Arabidopsis thaliana: one gene and its partners. The protein of the gene in region 4 interacts with the protein of the main gene of each other region in a pairwise test. Each region holds a gene or a part of one and is shown on either strand. Other genes may lie near its edges. The genes, in order: UMAMIT27, ARGOS, AT5G11680 and AT5G51160.

The links.
Region 1: the proteins of AT5G51160 (region 4) and UMAMIT27 interact in a protein complementation assay, tested with the Arabidopsis thaliana proteins (one large-scale study listed by BioGRID).
Region 2: the proteins of AT5G51160 (region 4) and ARGOS interact in a protein complementation assay, tested with the Arabidopsis thaliana proteins (one large-scale study listed by BioGRID).
Region 3: the proteins of AT5G51160 (region 4) and AT5G11680 interact in a protein complementation assay, tested with the Arabidopsis thaliana proteins (one large-scale study listed by BioGRID).

The regions. Positions count from the first base shown.
Region 1 is NC_003070.9:3,851,649-3,856,046, reverse strand, and holds UMAMIT27 (nodulin MtN21 /EamA-like transporter family protein), read right to left. Parts: upstream 2,864-4,398; 5' UTR 2,731-2,863; coding exon 2,528-2,730; intron 2,290-2,527; coding exon 2,227-2,289; exon of another isoform or gene 2,053-2,226; coding exon 1,936-2,052; intron 1,706-1,935; coding exon 1,306-1,705; intron 1,178-1,305; coding exon 1,026-1,177; coding exon of another isoform or gene 1,001-1,025; exon of another isoform or gene 912-1,000; coding exon 788-911; 3' UTR 540-787; downstream 1-539.
Region 2 is NC_003074.8:22,127,784-22,131,005, reverse strand, and holds ARGOS (auxin-regulated gene involved in organ size), read right to left. Parts: upstream 1,502-3,222; 5' UTR 966-1,501; coding exon 573-965; 3' UTR 534-572; downstream 1-533. Other genes in the region: AT3G59910 (Ankyrin repeat family protein), read left to right, coding at 1-227. UniProt on the Arabidopsis thaliana protein: Promotes cell proliferation-dependent organ growth. Takes part in the AXR1-dependent auxin signaling pathway that requires ANT during organogenesis.
Region 3 is NC_003076.8:3,756,987-3,761,470, reverse strand, and holds AT5G11680 (classical AGP protein), read right to left. Parts: upstream 2,663-4,484; 5' UTR 2,486-2,662; intron 2,079-2,485; 5' UTR 2,009-2,078; coding exon 1,899-2,008; intron 1,665-1,898; coding exon 1,553-1,664; intron 1,427-1,552; coding exon 1,355-1,426; intron 1,264-1,354; coding exon 1,037-1,263; intron 940-1,036; coding exon 837-939; 3' UTR 558-836; downstream 1-557. Other genes in the region: NADP-ME2 (NADP-malic enzyme 2), read right to left, coding at 3,431-3,519, 3,609-3,737, 3,831-3,921, 4,017-4,091, 4,217-4,294, 4,382-4,471.
Region 4 is NC_003076.8:20,790,393-20,794,407, reverse strand, and holds AT5G51160 (Ankyrin repeat family protein), read right to left. Parts: upstream 2,336-4,015; 5' UTR 2,129-2,335; coding exon 1,625-2,128; intron 1,552-1,624; coding exon 727-1,551; 3' UTR 567-726; downstream 1-566. Other genes in the region: AT5G51170 (U6 snRNA phosphodiesterase-like protein), read left to right, coding at 1-28, 126-191, 305-502; AT5G51150 (Mitochondrial import inner membrane translocase subunit Tim17/Tim22/Tim23 family protein), read right to left, coding at 2,913-3,179, 3,271-3,477, 3,582-3,674, 3,785-4,015.

The DNA of each region.
Region 1 (4,398 bases), on a different chromosome or scaffold from region 4:
TCCCAATTTGGATTCGATCCCTTTTACGCTCTGTCCTTTCACTGGATCCATGCAGTACCTCGTTTTTGTTATTTATAATGCACATAATAATTGTTATACATTTCAATATAGAAGTTAATGAAAAAAATTATACTGTATTAGTATATAGTTGTTTCTCCCCAATATGGGTATCGAAATTTTGCCTTCCTTTATTTTGTCCGTCGAACTTTGTAGGGACAAAAAGCAGATGCTATTCTAGATTAAGGTAAGGCTTAGAAAAAATGGACGGGGCATTTTCACTCCAGTAGTGCATAATATATATACAGTAGTACTAATTACAATTGGTCTTTATTTTTTCTAGACCTTAAATTCTTACTGTTTTAGCAACAGGCTACAAACTCAAAACGCAACACATTTAAAATCAGCACGAAAATAATCCAAGAAACAGAGCTTTTGAAACTAAAAACAATATTACGAGGCTCTTTTAACAGATCTGTTGTGAAATGTTTTGATATATCATATATGCTTTATATTGGTTAGTTTTGAATATTATAACAAATCTGTTTTGTTATCTCTTTACGAAATTATAAATCTGCAAACGAAAAGTATGAATTATACAAACTGCTTGCACAATTTGAATCTGAATATTTATGACTGGTCTTTAACGTGAGTGTGCTTGCACAATTTAAATCTAAATATTTATGACTGGTCTTTACGGTAAATGTATTCAGTAGTAAATACTAATTTACGACAATGAAGCCATATGAATCTTTCTATGACAACAATATTATTTGATTAAATGGGCGACCTAGACTCGTTGATCTTCGTTGTTCATCCGAGAAGACAATGTAGTTATGTCTGCTTCCGTTTCTTTGTTCTTACCCCACAAGAACACGTAGAGACCTATTATTGTCCCTACTGATCCAATCACACTGTATAGCAAAAGTTACAAAATAAATTGTAATTAGTAATACGAGCATGAACCTAATACATTAACATCTATAAAGCTATACAAAAAATTTCATAGAGATGATCGAAGAGAGCACCTTCCGAGGTATAAAGGAGTGTGTAAGATAAGGAAATCGAATAGAGTAGCCGATATGAGAGAAACTGGCATAATTGCTGATGCGAAAACAGCTCCTAATCTGTTTATTCCCCATGTCGCTGCTACAGTCGACATTGCTTGTCCTATCACTCCCTATAATACGTGTATAGTAATAAGGTAATATTAGGTAAACCCCAAAATTTATTTAATTATTTACATATATACTACATTATAATTTATAAAAATGTTAAGATTTCTGATAATATAGTATTATAACTTACAGCATATATTATGACACCAATCACAAATCCATCGTCGATGATCCAATGTTTAAGGTCTCTACTCTTGTAAAGACTCAATAGAGCACATTGAAAAGCTGCGAAAATTGACATGAGACAAGTGCTTGAGAATTTGCAAGGATACTTGATGCTTAAAGTCCCTTGAAACAATATCCATAGAGATAGCAACACGATTCCTATGACTAAGTAGAGACATCCAAGAAGCCAATTCTTGGTGTTGTGATCGCTGTTGTTGTGAGGAAGAGCCTCTAGGTGAGAGTGAGAGTTTGATATATGAGGGCCTTTGTAAAATGTTAAGAACAAAGCTCCACTTATACATATTAGAGTTCCCATCACTTTTATCATTCCTGCTTGGGTCTTTAGATCTTTTATCTTCTCAGTTCTGAAAAGTAATATAACCTTTTAGATGATAAATTTGAGATAATTTATGAGTAAGGTTCTTTTGAGTATTTCTATATATAGAAGTATAATATGCTTGATGAAAAAACAAAAGAAATTATATGCACTGTATACATAACAAATACGAATAAATCCTGCATGAACCCATTGCATAGTAATAGTAAATACAGTACTTATTTTAATGATAAAGAAGTTAGATGGTTCCATAATTACCTCAAAATAAGAGCGAAAGCAAAGGTGATTGCAGGCATCAAGCTTACCAAAGCACACGCAACAGTTGCTGACGTGTAGGACAGACCAAGCAAATAGAAAAATTGCATCAAACTCGCCCTGCAAATTTAAACCCAAAACTAAGCTAAGATTAAAAACAATTTAGCTAGCTTATGAAGATTTTATGCTCACTTGAAAGAAAATCTTTCTTCTGTGGAAACAATCAATGTATAATGGAAAAGGAAAATGGAAAATGGACGACAAAAGAACATAAGAAATTGTGAGAAGACAAACCCGAGCAAACCACTGATGAAATGATCGACCATTAGCCTAAACGTTATTTTCGGTATTATTTTCCTGTTAACAATAAGACATAAACTTTAGGGGAAAGAAAATATCAATCTACTTCATATATTAGTAACATGTAGTGGTGTTTATTTACATGTTATAATAGAGCATTCTGACAATCTTCAATTGTAGTAAATGTTGTTAATTATGTAAATATGAAAAAACTATTTTGATATAATCAAATTTTTGAAAATTTTGCATAAGAAAAATATATAACTCAACTATTTTCATCAAAATATCAATAAACCTTTCCAAAAAATAGGCGATAGGAACCAGAATGAAAGAGGAAATAGCCATTCGATAAGCACCAATGATCATATGGTTCACACCAACATCAAGAGCTTTCTTCACAAGTGCATTCACCGAACCCATCGCTACTTGTGATGTCACCATAACTATCATCGGTGGCCATTTTGAGACTACTTTCACTCCTCGCATATCCTCACCCATCTCTCCCTCGTTCTCTCTTTCTTGAATTCTATGTGAGTTTGTGTGTTAGAAAGAGTTAAGACCCAAAGTACTTTGAGTTTGGCAACCACCCTTCCCATATTTATAACTTATAAGAAAGAGTACTGTGTTTGGGTTCTGTCATTTTAATAGAAAAAACCCCTGAATTATTGCTCTATTATATTAACTTAGTGGTCTTTCTATCAAAAATAAATAAATAAAAAACTTAGTGCTGTCAAGTTCAATTTAAATAATATTAGAATCTTGTTCCACATTATGTAAAATTATAAATTACAAAATAGTTCAAATATTTGAACAAGTTGAATGTTCCTACACACAACTAGCTTAATTTTATTTACTTTTCTGGTCTAAAAAAACTTTCTTTTTATATAGGATAAGCGTTTGTGAAGAACAAAGCACTACTACAAACCCGAGCATATTATTAACTAATGAAAGAACAAAATTAGTAGGATACTTAAGTTTAAGAAGTCGTCACAAATATAACTGCTCATGCGGTAACAATCTTTTTTTTTTCCGGTCAATATGTGTATATTTACTGTTATATTTATTTATTTATTATATAGTAGAAATGAGAACCGATACATTGGCTTTATCACACGTTTCATGAGGCGCCGATGAATTAGCTTTTCCATTTTATACGTTATATGAGTAAATGAGAAACCGATACATTGGCTTTATCATGCGTGTTATCTGCCGCGCACCTTATTAATTAGCAAAATGATTTTCATAAAAGAGAGTCGGAGAGATGATGTAACTGAGTTTAGTGAGAAAAAATAAGTCATGCAAACCCGAGCTAGTTGGTATATCTAAATCTATACTTCGTGTAATCTAATGACACTTAAACATTTGTAATCTAATGACACTTAAACACTTGCATGCCCGTCTCCGTCTGGTCGTATAGGTTCAAGTTTGGGTTCTTTACTTTCAATTGTAATTGGACTGACTCAAGGATTTGTTGAATTTGGTGCAAAATAGGAAAAAACACGAACTTTTCAACGAGATAAACTAATCATATGTAGTAAATAAGTACTATATGAGATTTTGCAACTCTCATTCAATAACTTTTTGCGTGCAAATTTGTTTTGTGCCCATTTTGAATTATATTCGATCCATTAATTATTCTCTTTTGTCTTTTCATTGGATCCATCTTGTTTTGCACTATCTCGTTTTTGTTAATTATAAATGCGTATAATTAGCTCTATATTTGAACTTTTAAAGTTGATGAAAAAATTATATTATCCCCATTTGGGTATATCGAACTCTTTCATTCCTTTAGTTTGTCCATATAACTTTGTAGGGACAAAAAGCAGATGCTATTTTTAGATTCAGTAAGTTATCTAGAAAAGGCTTAGAACATAATGGACGGGGCATTTTCTCTCCAGTAGTGCAGACATATATATTCCTTCTACTAATTAGATCAATTCACCAAATATAATAACAATTGAGTTAGTGGTTCTAATGATGTTAAATTTTTTTTATAAAAAAGTTGTCACAAAAGAAAAGTTAGTGGTTTTGACTTAGTTCTAGAATAAATTTACAAGATTGGTATATAATATATTCTATCTTTTCATATTAAATCATATCTAAAGTTTTTCACATAAATTAAGAAATAATAAAAAAAATATTTTGTTTATTTTATATATATAAATT
Region 2 (3,222 bases), on a different chromosome or scaffold from region 4:
TATCCTTAAGAGACCTTCCTGCACCGCTAAGAGTAGCAATAGCGTACATGCCGCTGTACAGAGAGTGCATGAAAGCGGACGGTCGGTTACTGTCTCAGAGGCTAAGAGGACAGCTTGTAGAAGCAGTGAGACAGCTTCAAGGCTGTGCTGTTGCAGTTGTGGAAGTAAGCCAGACTCGTAACCTTATGGCGGTTTTGGAGCATCACCTTACCGCCATTTTCGATTGAAACAAATGGATTCTGCTTTTGGGCTTCACTGGTTTTCTAATTTCTACGAATAGTTGAAAATAAGCAAATAAATACTACGATTTAAATTAACGGATATTGGGATTTGGGTTTGAGATGACGAAGTGAGGTTTTTTTTTTTTTTTTGTATAATTTCTTCTTATGATGCTTCTATATTATGTCAGTCTCTTCTCCTCCATTTCTCTTATTGTGCGTTGAAGTATTCTCACATATATATATTATGATAATTTAATGTAATATTTATAACTTACATTTATATTGTATATCAATTTCATTGGATTAAGAACCCTAAGATTAATTAAGATCATCATATAATAAATTTCAGATTTACATGAAATTGCAAGTTACATCTGTATTAGCATTAGAATGAGAAGAAGGCATGAAGGCAAGAACGACGAGTAAAACCATAATCCCAATGGGAACCAATAGCAGCATAAACGGAGGCGGAGGTAACGGCGGCAAAACTAACGGAAGTATTAACAGAGATGCCGTTAGACCAACCAATAGGAACAGAGACTCTAAACTGAAATAATTCGCCGGGATCATCATCCTTTTCTGCGCCGAGAAACTCCGCCGTAACTCTTGCTTGCTTTTCTCCGGCGAACTTCGAAAGCTCATGTTTTTCCGGTTGTTTCTTCCGACGTCCATGACTCGGTTGTTCGAATAACTGTCTTGAATGTTTATAATATCTTTTTGTAAGTTTGAGATTTCTCGAATCATCTACAGAGGTTGTTTTGCTGTGTCTGGTTTGGATTTAGAAGATCAGTGACAAAATTTTGCTCAAAGATCTGATCTTTAGGGCAACTGGTTAACCAATGCAGCTTGATCGAAGCAATTGGTGAAGAATTCGAGACAAAATAAGGATGGCCCACGATTCAGAAACAGAGGATGCAGAACAAATCCGAGTTAACTCAACGATTCAGATGTAAAGGAAGAAGCTTTGAGGTGAAGGAGTTTGAGAAGCTTTGTGTATTGGTTTTGGTTGGATCAAGAAACTGTGTGAAACAAGTACTAGTAGGGAAATGAGGAAGACAAGTAGCAATGAAAGAGGAGAATTTATTAATAAAGGAGTTGGAGGAGAATCAGAAGATATGGGGGGAGAAAGAGAGAGAAGAGGGTTCAGTGAATTTAGGGATTTTCTGATATGTTGAAAAGACGAAAAAGAGGAACGTTTATTATATAAAGGGGCTGACAAATGTGAGGAGAAGCAAGTTGCTGAATTTGAAAGATTTGAATTTCGTGTGGCCTAGTCTTCCTCCACAATCACAAGGTTCTTCTCCCCTGGTCTTCTTTTCTCTTACTTTTTCTACCATTTCTTTTACTTATATAACATATGACGTAAGCTACAATCTCCTCTGATCTGAATATGTAAGTAGTATTTAAATAAATGAGTTTTAAAACCATCTTTTTACCATTCTATAAATTTTTAAGAAAATAATTTTCTAGTTTATTTTGAATCATCCAGTTATTAATATACAGGTTGATTTTTAAAATTTTATAATCAAATATTTGATGCGATGAGGAAATTATTTTTATTAACGTACCTACCAATAATTTTGTCGATGTTTATGGATAAATAAGGACCCATAGTGTTGTTCTTCTCGAAGCACTTCATATGGTGAATGCGCTTGTTCTACCAGGAAATGTTGGGCCAATATATGTATATGCTCTCATATTTCTATATATAAAGCCAAGTTAAATAGCTAGGAATGTTTTTCAAATTAATTCACGATGCTATTTTTATATATTTACGTGTATATGGAGATCGGACATAGTAACGTGACAACACGCTTTGCATGTGAAGTCTTGATGAGAGGATGGTTTTTAATAAAGCCAAGATGTTTATATCGCCAGAGGATGAATTCTCACAGAATGATGAATTAAAGCAAATAGACTTCGCTAGTAACTCAGTCGGAAATCACTTGTTACTTTTAATATATAAATATAGTTAATCCCATAAATATAATTCATGGTTCAATGAATTGAGAAACATATAGGCCATTTCCTTTAGAAACAACGTCAAGTGGTTTTATTAGTTTTTTTCCTGGCCTTTAGATACAAAAAAGCCGATGAGTAGTTTGGGAGAATTGATAGATTACCAATACTACAACACTAGTTATCCACATTAATTGTGCAGCATTACTTTAATTAGGCCAAATTAACAATATACGAAGACTGCAGCTTCAGATATTAAACTATTTGACGTGTACCAACAAAGTTTTTTGCATGGATGACAAACCCTAAATTAATAATTTAGAATGTTTATATCGAAAGATCCGCTAGTTTCTACTCCTACTCTACAGATACGAAAATCGTATATTTAGGGATGAGAAAATGGATCTCCTTGAATCGTTGACCAAAAAAAGGAAAGAAAATTGTCAAATGGATCTTCTCAGCATAAGCTCAACTAAAAAAATCAATTTATTTGTGTTTAGTGTTTGTCTCTACAATCAAGAGAATACTTTTACTAAAATATGGGTTCATAAAAATGTTCACTGAATGTATACACTAGTAACCAAAACTTATTTGGTGCGGTTTAAGATTTATTTTTTATTTAAATAAAAGTACTTCCTTTTAAGTTCTTTGGAAACAAAAGAATTAATCAGTTTAAAATTCAGTTCACTTGTGTGTTTGTTCTTGGATAGATATACAGTATTACGATTAAACATCTCTATTTGTACGTTTTTAATTAGTAATGGAATTTGTTTATTGAAGACTAGATGAGTAAATAATGGTGGAAAGTTAAGATGTAGGTGTGTATATATGGCAACCCATGCATGATTATTGCCTTGAACACCGCACACATTTAGATTGGTGTCCAGTGGACCTGTATCAAAAAGTTCAAGAAAAAAAAGTATTATCATAATATTATTCCCTCTGTCTTACTAATAAGTCAGTCATGTTTAAATATTGCTTCTTCTTGTTTTATATACCCTACTTCTAATTTAATTGATTTTCGACAGTCAATATGCATAGA
Region 3 (4,484 bases), about 17 Mb from region 4:
TAGTGACCGATAATGAAGTCGCTTCTAATCAGAGAGGGCGTGCGAGCCCCCGAAATTAGGGTTTCTAGGTGAAAACGATCGACAATTGTAAATCCTCACTCGTACCTTCGCTCTCGCTCCTCCTAATTTGGACCAGTGTCGCTATAAATTTCTGCAGAACTAACTAGAATGCTATGCCTAGTGAGTGTTACAATTTGTTTTGTCAGAAAAAAAACACCCTGGTCTTTGTTTTTTTTAATAAATGGCTGGAAAGCCACTTTCTCTGGAAAATAAAGCTAGAATGCCACCTTCGTATTTTCATTTTCTTTTACAATTTTGTTTTAAATCAAAAACTAAGGAAAGGTCCAAAAACCCAATTTCAATATTGAAAACTACCAACCCAACCTAAAGTATCCGATTATCCATTCCAAATTTTATGGTCCAACCCTGAACCTCAAATCTTAGTCCATTGGGTTTTAGCTTGCAAAATATATGTTTTGTGGTTTTGTGTGTCCCACTAGTGGCCACGACTTACTACAAGCTCAAGTATTCGCGATTTAGCTGAAGAAAATTGAGCGTGCGGATCAGCCAAATCCGACTTTTCATGGTTCAGGCGAACCGGCAGGGTTTTCGACCCACATTTTGTTCAATATATGAACCAAACTTATGATTATTACGACTCCAATTTTACCAGATACATCCACACACCAAACAAGTCTCATCTTTCTTTACACAGATGGTTTTAGACTTTTAGTTTTCAACTTTAAACAAACAAACAACACGTTTTGCTTATTAGCAACACTAATCTGTTGCTGTTTCTGTATTCATAGCCTTTGTATTTTTTTTTTCCGTGTATCTCAATGTTCCGCCGCACCCGAATGGTAAGCTCTACGCCTCAACTGAGATTCCCCTGATGGCTGTTGCAGATATATCCTCGTTGGATCATTAGGGTCCACGTACCTGCACATACACAATGACGACCACACAAGATTTTATGAGGAACAACAGCTTTTACTACTATCAAAAAACTTTCCGATTGATTTCTGATGGGACTTACGCATGTCTCATCATTTCGTCCACAGGTGTCTGAGCGGCTTGAAGAGGATCAACATGAGGAGCTGCCGCTGCTGCTTCTGCTGCTTGTTGCATTTGTCTGTTGTATTGTCTCACTGATGATATGAGATTCAAGAAGAGAGGAACAAATGTCCCACAACCACCTTCCTTAAATAGGATCTTGAAACTGTGTGTTGAATATAGAGCTCTATGCTCATTTTCTGGCACCACCTGGAAATTTTGTTACATGCCAATAAGTAAATATGTATAGTTTCCTTACAAGGAAAGAAACTATAAATTCTCCATGAAAGTTTGTACTTACAGGCTCCACTTGTCCAGCAATATTGTTGCAGTGAAATATTGGCTGATTAAATTTCTCGGCATGGATGTAAAGCTACAGAGTAACATATAATCCATAAGCTAATATGTAGCATGTAGTTCCATAACCAAATTTAACAGAGCTACACTTGTGCCATGTATTAACTAAATCAGAGACAAAAATAAGATAAAGTTACTGTACCAGGGGCATGTCAAAAGCAACAAAGTTGTCAACAGGCTTGCTTGAAACAAAGACCATCCGTATATTAGACAAGTAAATCACCCCCTTGGCCTTAACATGACCTCCATGCCCTCTGGATCATACAACAAGAAAGAACATCAGGGAAGTGTTTAAAGCCCAGAGCTCATATGTCTGTTCACTTCTGAGACTTATCTTATTTACAAGTAAACTTAATGGTTCATATGCTAGATGAGTGGATCTAAACCGACTCAAAACGGTACTAAAATGGAGACCAACAATAATCATCAAATCAATAAACCACTTAAGGAGATCCAAAACATGCGTGACGAGAGAAGGGAACACGAACCCAGGGATCTTGTCGACTTCAAACTCAACACCATCTCGGACTAGGACGAACATTTCATTAACAAAGGGAACAGGCATCCCATTGGGTAGTAATTGAGGGTTTAGCGCCATGAACTGCAATTCAGATTGATCAAGCCAATGATTATATAATTCCTTGTTCTGTTCTTCTTCTCTGCGTAACCTGATCACACAAATGAGAATATAAACACATTTCCAAATATACTTAGACAATCAGAAGATAATTCAAAGGAACATGCTCCAAATTAGCAAATAATTATTCACAGATCCAAGTAACTAGAGCCAATTAACATCCACATATCATCAGCTTCCAATTTCAGATATGCAAAAGAGCAAATAAAATTGAGGTTTTTAGCTAATTCAAATCGAAACGTTCCTATAATGTAGAAACAAAGACTAGGATTAATAATACGTGTTCAAAACAAATCAATCAACAAAGAAAATATCTAATTCCTTAGAGAATCAAAATCTGATAGCAATAAGAAAGCAGTAACAGAACGATCCAAGTTCAATTTCAAGCAATCCTTTACTCGTAATTTTCTCGCGAATAGAAAAGCTGAAGGAACATACCTGGGTCTACAGAGCTTAAAAGGATTTTGATCGGAGAGATTGAAGAAGAAGAGGATAGGGGTAATAAAAGGGCCAAGATCACAGTTTCTCGTTTTTTCCAGAAAAGAGACGCGACGCGGTTTATTCTTAAAACCTTCTAACCATTTTATTCGTCCCTCTACTTATTTCTTTAGTTCGATTTTCGCCCGCAATTTGATTTCGTTACAATTGTCCCCATCTACAGTTACTATTTGGGCCTTATTACATCTCAGATTAAAGGGACCGTTCAGCCCATTTTCAGTTGTTTTAACTTTGGTTTCGGTTTAGGTGTTTATTTATTTTTTTGACATCTTGTTTCGGTTTAGTTTTGGTTTGGATTGTTTGAGCTTTCGATTTTAACCAAAACGTGAAGACGAGTTTTAGAGATTCTTGTTATTGTTTTAGCTATTTATAACAAGTAGTTACCTAAAATGCCAAAATCATTAGCTTAAGATTAGGAGTTTTGTTGTTTTTAGAACATTTTGCTCAGTACAATTTAGAAACCACTTTCAAAAGAGTATTCAGCTATGCTTCTATAGTCCTATTATCTATATGAAACTTTTGATAAACTCTTCAAAATAATGATACAAGTTCTTTAATTCTGCAACAATTATACCATTTTAATAAAACAACCAATAAGATACAACAAGTGGCAGAAAAAAGCATATTATTCCCTTCCAAGACAAGTTGATCGATTTTGTGATGTGGGATGGAAAGTGTAACTTTGAGACAATAATGATTTGTAGATTATATTAGTAACAATTTATTATTTATCAGCAAAGACAGAGAGAGAGTTCACAAACAGCATCATAATGTAGAAGAGAAAACAAACAACAAACAAACAAACAAAAAACTTAAATACAAGCCTTAAGAAACTATCAAGGGTTGTGAATAGTATAATCTGCAGGTTTCTTCAACAAAACTTTTTTAACGGTAGTTTCTGTACACAGGGCTGTACATGCTGCTCTCTGCAAACTTGACAAGATCCTTTGCACGTGGCAGGTTCGACGCCAATCCTACACCACAATACATCGATTTTAGAACTTGAGATTAGAGAGTTCAGACAGTCTCATTAAAAGAGTTAAGACAGTTTCATTCAACTAACCGAGGTCATAGGTTTTGGCGGCGACACAGGCTGCAATGTTAGCAGAGATCTCTCTGATGTTTGAGAATGGCGGGTAGATCAGACCATTGGCGTAATGCTCTTCTGTCACTTGTGCGGCCAATGCTTCAGCTGTTGAAAACATGAGAGAGAGATGACATTGAGAATCTTTAAGTGTCTTTATCAGTATCCATGTTTGATTTTCTGAAGTTTATTTTTACTTACAAGCTGCGAGGAGCATGTCATCACGGACACGAATTGCCCCAGACATGATCAAACCAAGACCCAGACCAGGGAAAATGTAGCAATTGTTTGCCTGAAGTTAAGTAGGATAGTGGAAATATGATGTGAGCTCTAAGATTGTCAGATGTACAAAGTTGAGAGAGAAGAAGTTGTTGAAATAGCACGAACCTGGCCAGGCAAGTAGGTTTTGCCATCGTACACAACAGGATCAAATGGGCTTCCACTTCCAAAGATTGCACGACCCTTTTTTTAAGCACAATATATGATTAGATTCGAGGAGCAGCATGAAAACCAAATTATAATTTTGTTGTATAATCAGGAGTGAGGACATGAATCACATTTAGATGTCATATGAGACAATATTATACCTTGGTCCATGTGTAAGCCTGTTCAGCAGTACACTCAGCTTGAGAAGTAGGGTTTGAGAGAGCAAGAATCAACGGTTTCTATAAGCCAACACCAAGACCAGCATTAGAAAAATAGCATAAATACCTTGTTTTCTGAAAAAGCAGAGAGTAAGAACAAGAAGAAACCTCGTTGTTGGTAGCCATGGCCTCGACAACTTCTTTTGTGAAAGTCTGACCCACACCGGATGTTCCAATGAGAACGGTTGGCTTGATTGCCTGTTTGAAAAAG
Region 4 (4,015 bases):
GGAAATCACTACTTCAGGACTATCCGAGGTATGTTGTACAACAAGAGTTAACCTTGAATGTTGGATTTTTGCATACTCAGTACCTTGTGTTAGATATTGTACTGATTATCATATCCTTAATTCAGATAAGTAAGCAAATTGATGCTGTTAATGAAGTTTACAAGCTCCACAATCTGCCGGAGTTCTACAAGGTCCACTTGCTTTTCTATATAGTACTTTACAGCTTGATTGTATTTTACTGTTTAGCCAATGAAAATCGTCATGGACACTTATCCCATCGAGTCTGCTTCAATTTTTCTTTTAGGATCCGCGGCCGCATATATCCTTGGTCTGGGCGTTGGGTGATATTAGAACTTCCCTAAAGGGAGCTGTTGACGTGGAACTTAGGAAGCTTAGAGCAGGTGGTTGTGTGCAGAATCGTATCTTCACCTCTAAGTTTTGTGGGATCGAGTGTAAGATAGGAAACAAAACACACAAAATATGTAAACTCCCAGATGAATAAGAAAATCTCAAATTTCTGTGTTTGCAGACCAATCAGGTATGCATTTGTAACGACATAGAAGGATGAGTTGATCTGTGTTCTTGGGTATTCCATAATATATGTCTCTTCATAGAAAAAAGTCTCCATATATCATAATATCACTCGTAATAACATTGGTGATTTCTGGACAATGCAACAACAAGTCCTTGTGATTTGAAATAAGGTAGATATTGAACTGGCTACTATTATGTTACAAAACGTTTACATGAAAGTGAAATCATGGAGCAAATTTTTTGTGACCTGGAGTCCAAGAAGTGAGCGAGCATACCAATAGGGTTCTCGAGCAACCTCATCAAACCCGGGGTGGTAGCAGCGAGGATGGATGTGATGAGAATGCAGTAAAGCTTGACATGATCAGGTGCAATGCTGGCCATGGTTGTGTTGTGCGAGAAATACATAGCAATCATACAGATCTGAAGCTGGAACCGCAATGGGAACCCGAGGGTGAGAATGTTGAGCATAGACAGTGAAACCGAAAACCCAATTGTGTTGAAGAACACAAACAAAGTGAAAGCAACTCCATTGAAGGTCCCCATGATAGATTGCCCTGCTGTATGAGCTTGTTGATTTGTAGTATTCACATTCGTTGTGTTCTGGGATACAGCAGGTATTGAGCTATCTTGCCAGGTTCCACCTGGTGGGGTCAAGCTGGCCTGAAACGTGGCTGTGGCGACTAGTGAAGCCACCACTAGTAATGCGCTACGTGCTTCTGATGGTGAGTCTCTGTGCTTTTTGAAAGTGAAGTACTTGACAAGTTCTTTATGGCTTTGGGACTTCATTGTTCTCTCTTGGCATGTGGAAGTAGAAGTGGTTCTCTCGACATTAGTAGTGCCAATGTCTCGCCCTCTCTGAGCTCCAGCTTCGATGAGTTTCTCATAGATTTCTCTATCGCCAGCTTCGCTCGGAAACATAACCAGCAAATCCATCGCTGATAGACCCATCTTGTTCATAGCATTCACCTCAAATGACCTTGATTCTTCTGGTATTGCCTGAACCAACACTTCAATCACCTGTAGGCAAAAGAAAAACAGAGTTTGATTCCACTGGAAGAAAACTATTTAACCGCAACTTAATTCGTCGTACCTGGCGATTTTTTCTCCAGGTTGCAAGATGAAGAGCAGTGTTACCCTGTTCATCTTTCTTATTCAACACATCAAATCGATTTGTCTCTGTGATCAACTCAACAATGGCTATGACTGCTTCGATCTCTAGGTGCAGAACAGCAAGATGCAAAGCAGTTTGACCTTGTACGGTCTCGTCTTCTAAACAATCAACACAGCTCGCTACAATCTCTCTGATCACATCGATTTTCCCTCTCATCGTTGCCACATGTAGAGGAGTCTTTCCATCTCTATCTTTTAAGCGGCAAAGCTTCTTTTCAACCCCCAAAGTTGCCCTCACAGTCTCTACTTGTCCGGCTGCCGCAGCTGCATGAAGAGGGCTAAACCCGTTTTTGTCCAAGTCAAAGACTGACCGCTGCCTGAGAATCTTTCCGGCGACGACATACTCTTCACTCCTTGGGTTGAAGGAGTTATAGAGAGGATCAGAGACGATCTCCTTCGGTAAATGAGTCTCAAAAGCATCCATTTTGGTGATGATGCAGAAGAAAGAGAGAGAGAAGATCGAGTTGAATATACAATGAAGGTGTGTACCATCACGACGCTTGTTTGAAATTTTCTATTACAAAACTCCCTTTGACATTTGACTTTGTAGCATATGAAGTATTCCTTAAAGTGGAACAAATGCTTACAAGTGTCAGTTGTTTGCATTACTTTATCTTTTGATTTTCTGACCCTGAGATCATCGTATGTGCAAATTCATATCCGCTCCGACCAATACAGATGAAATTTCAACAATTTGAGTAATACAATAGTTTTTGGGTATGAGAGTCAAATCTTAGACGAATTGACTTTTTTTCCATCGGTTGAGAGAACTTGCATTAGGAAACTAAACAAAACTGTGTTTTTCTTGAAGTGAGTTTTTAAGCAATAGATCAAGATTATAACAAGACAAAAAGGAATATATCTAGTGATCTGTTTCAAGTTTCAACACTGTGTTGGTGTTAACAAATCAAGACAGCTTGACTCGCTTGCCATAAATCTTCTTCATTCTGCTACTTCTCATTGAAATAAAGAAGAGACAGTGGAGTTGTTGTTATTACGTGAAAGAAAATAAAAAACAGGCTCCTAAATCCTATGAATCACTTCAATCTCTTAAGTTTTCTGTGTGGAGGAACCCTTTCTTTCTGGAAAGTTTCACATTAACTTCCTGAAACACAATCAAAATCATGATTCCGTAAAGGGTCCTTTTTGGTTTGCTCAATTTCAACGTCAGGTGCTAATATAGTATCAGACAGCTTCTGCTTATACTTCTAAAGACCGGGAATTGCTTCCAAGTTATACTTTTCTTCGGCTTTCGGAGTTTCGCCTTCTCGGCTCTCCTGCGTTTTCGGTTTCTTCAATGCATCTAGGGTCTGGAGATAAGAATAGGACGAACTATGAGGGTATTTGCTGCTAGGATTGCTTATTTGGCTAGCAAGAAACCGACGGATGAGTCCCCTCAGAAACGGAGCCATTGTATCAGGTTCATATTCGAGGTAGTACATTATTCCTCCCATGCATCCACAGAATAAAGCCACCTGTTTCCATTAATTGTATAAAACATCAGTTCCATTGCTCAAAGGGGAAGAAAGTTGGAAATAACAAAAGTGGTTTGTAATTGTATTGTACCTCAGCATTTTTAATGTCGGGAAGAAGGTGGCGATTAACAAGTATCTCCCACAGAGAATCTCCTGCTCGGGGAAGAACATATAGAGCAAGCTCAGAGCGTCTCGGTTTCTTCTCCAGCATAACTGAGAGGGCTGCTGCACCACCCGCAAACCAATAAACGAGCTTGTGGTCTTTGGTTGCAACTTTTCTATGGGCACATATGAAAGCCTAATGCAAATGGGATGAAGGCACATACATTTGGGAATGGTTTTAGGAAACTATGTGAATTGTATGAAATGAGGGGACACAAATCAAATGTAAAAACCAGCTACCTGAAAAATCCCAACAAAAGCAGACAAGAAGGACGTCGATCTAACTGAATCTCTGATTGCAAGCCAAGATGTCCGGTAAGGAGAAGCCATGAACTGAAATGAAAGTGTAGGATGGCATCAGAAACTACATATCATGTCTGACTAATGCATAAACCATAGGAATCTAAAAGACTGAAACGGCAAATATTGAGGGACAGTCTTACTTTTTGTAGGTGTAGAACAACATATGGGACAAAAGTCAGGGAGAAATATAATGGAAATGTTTTCTTGAATGTAGCTGACATTGCATTAGCATTTTGGGCCAGACACGAGTTAGTGTTTGGATGAATAGCTGCACAGGGAATGATGGAAGCAAACTCTTCCACCTTCACGTCGCTTGCTTCGTTTTTACTAGAAATATAGGCTGACAAGGAGGCTACATCAATTGGACCACC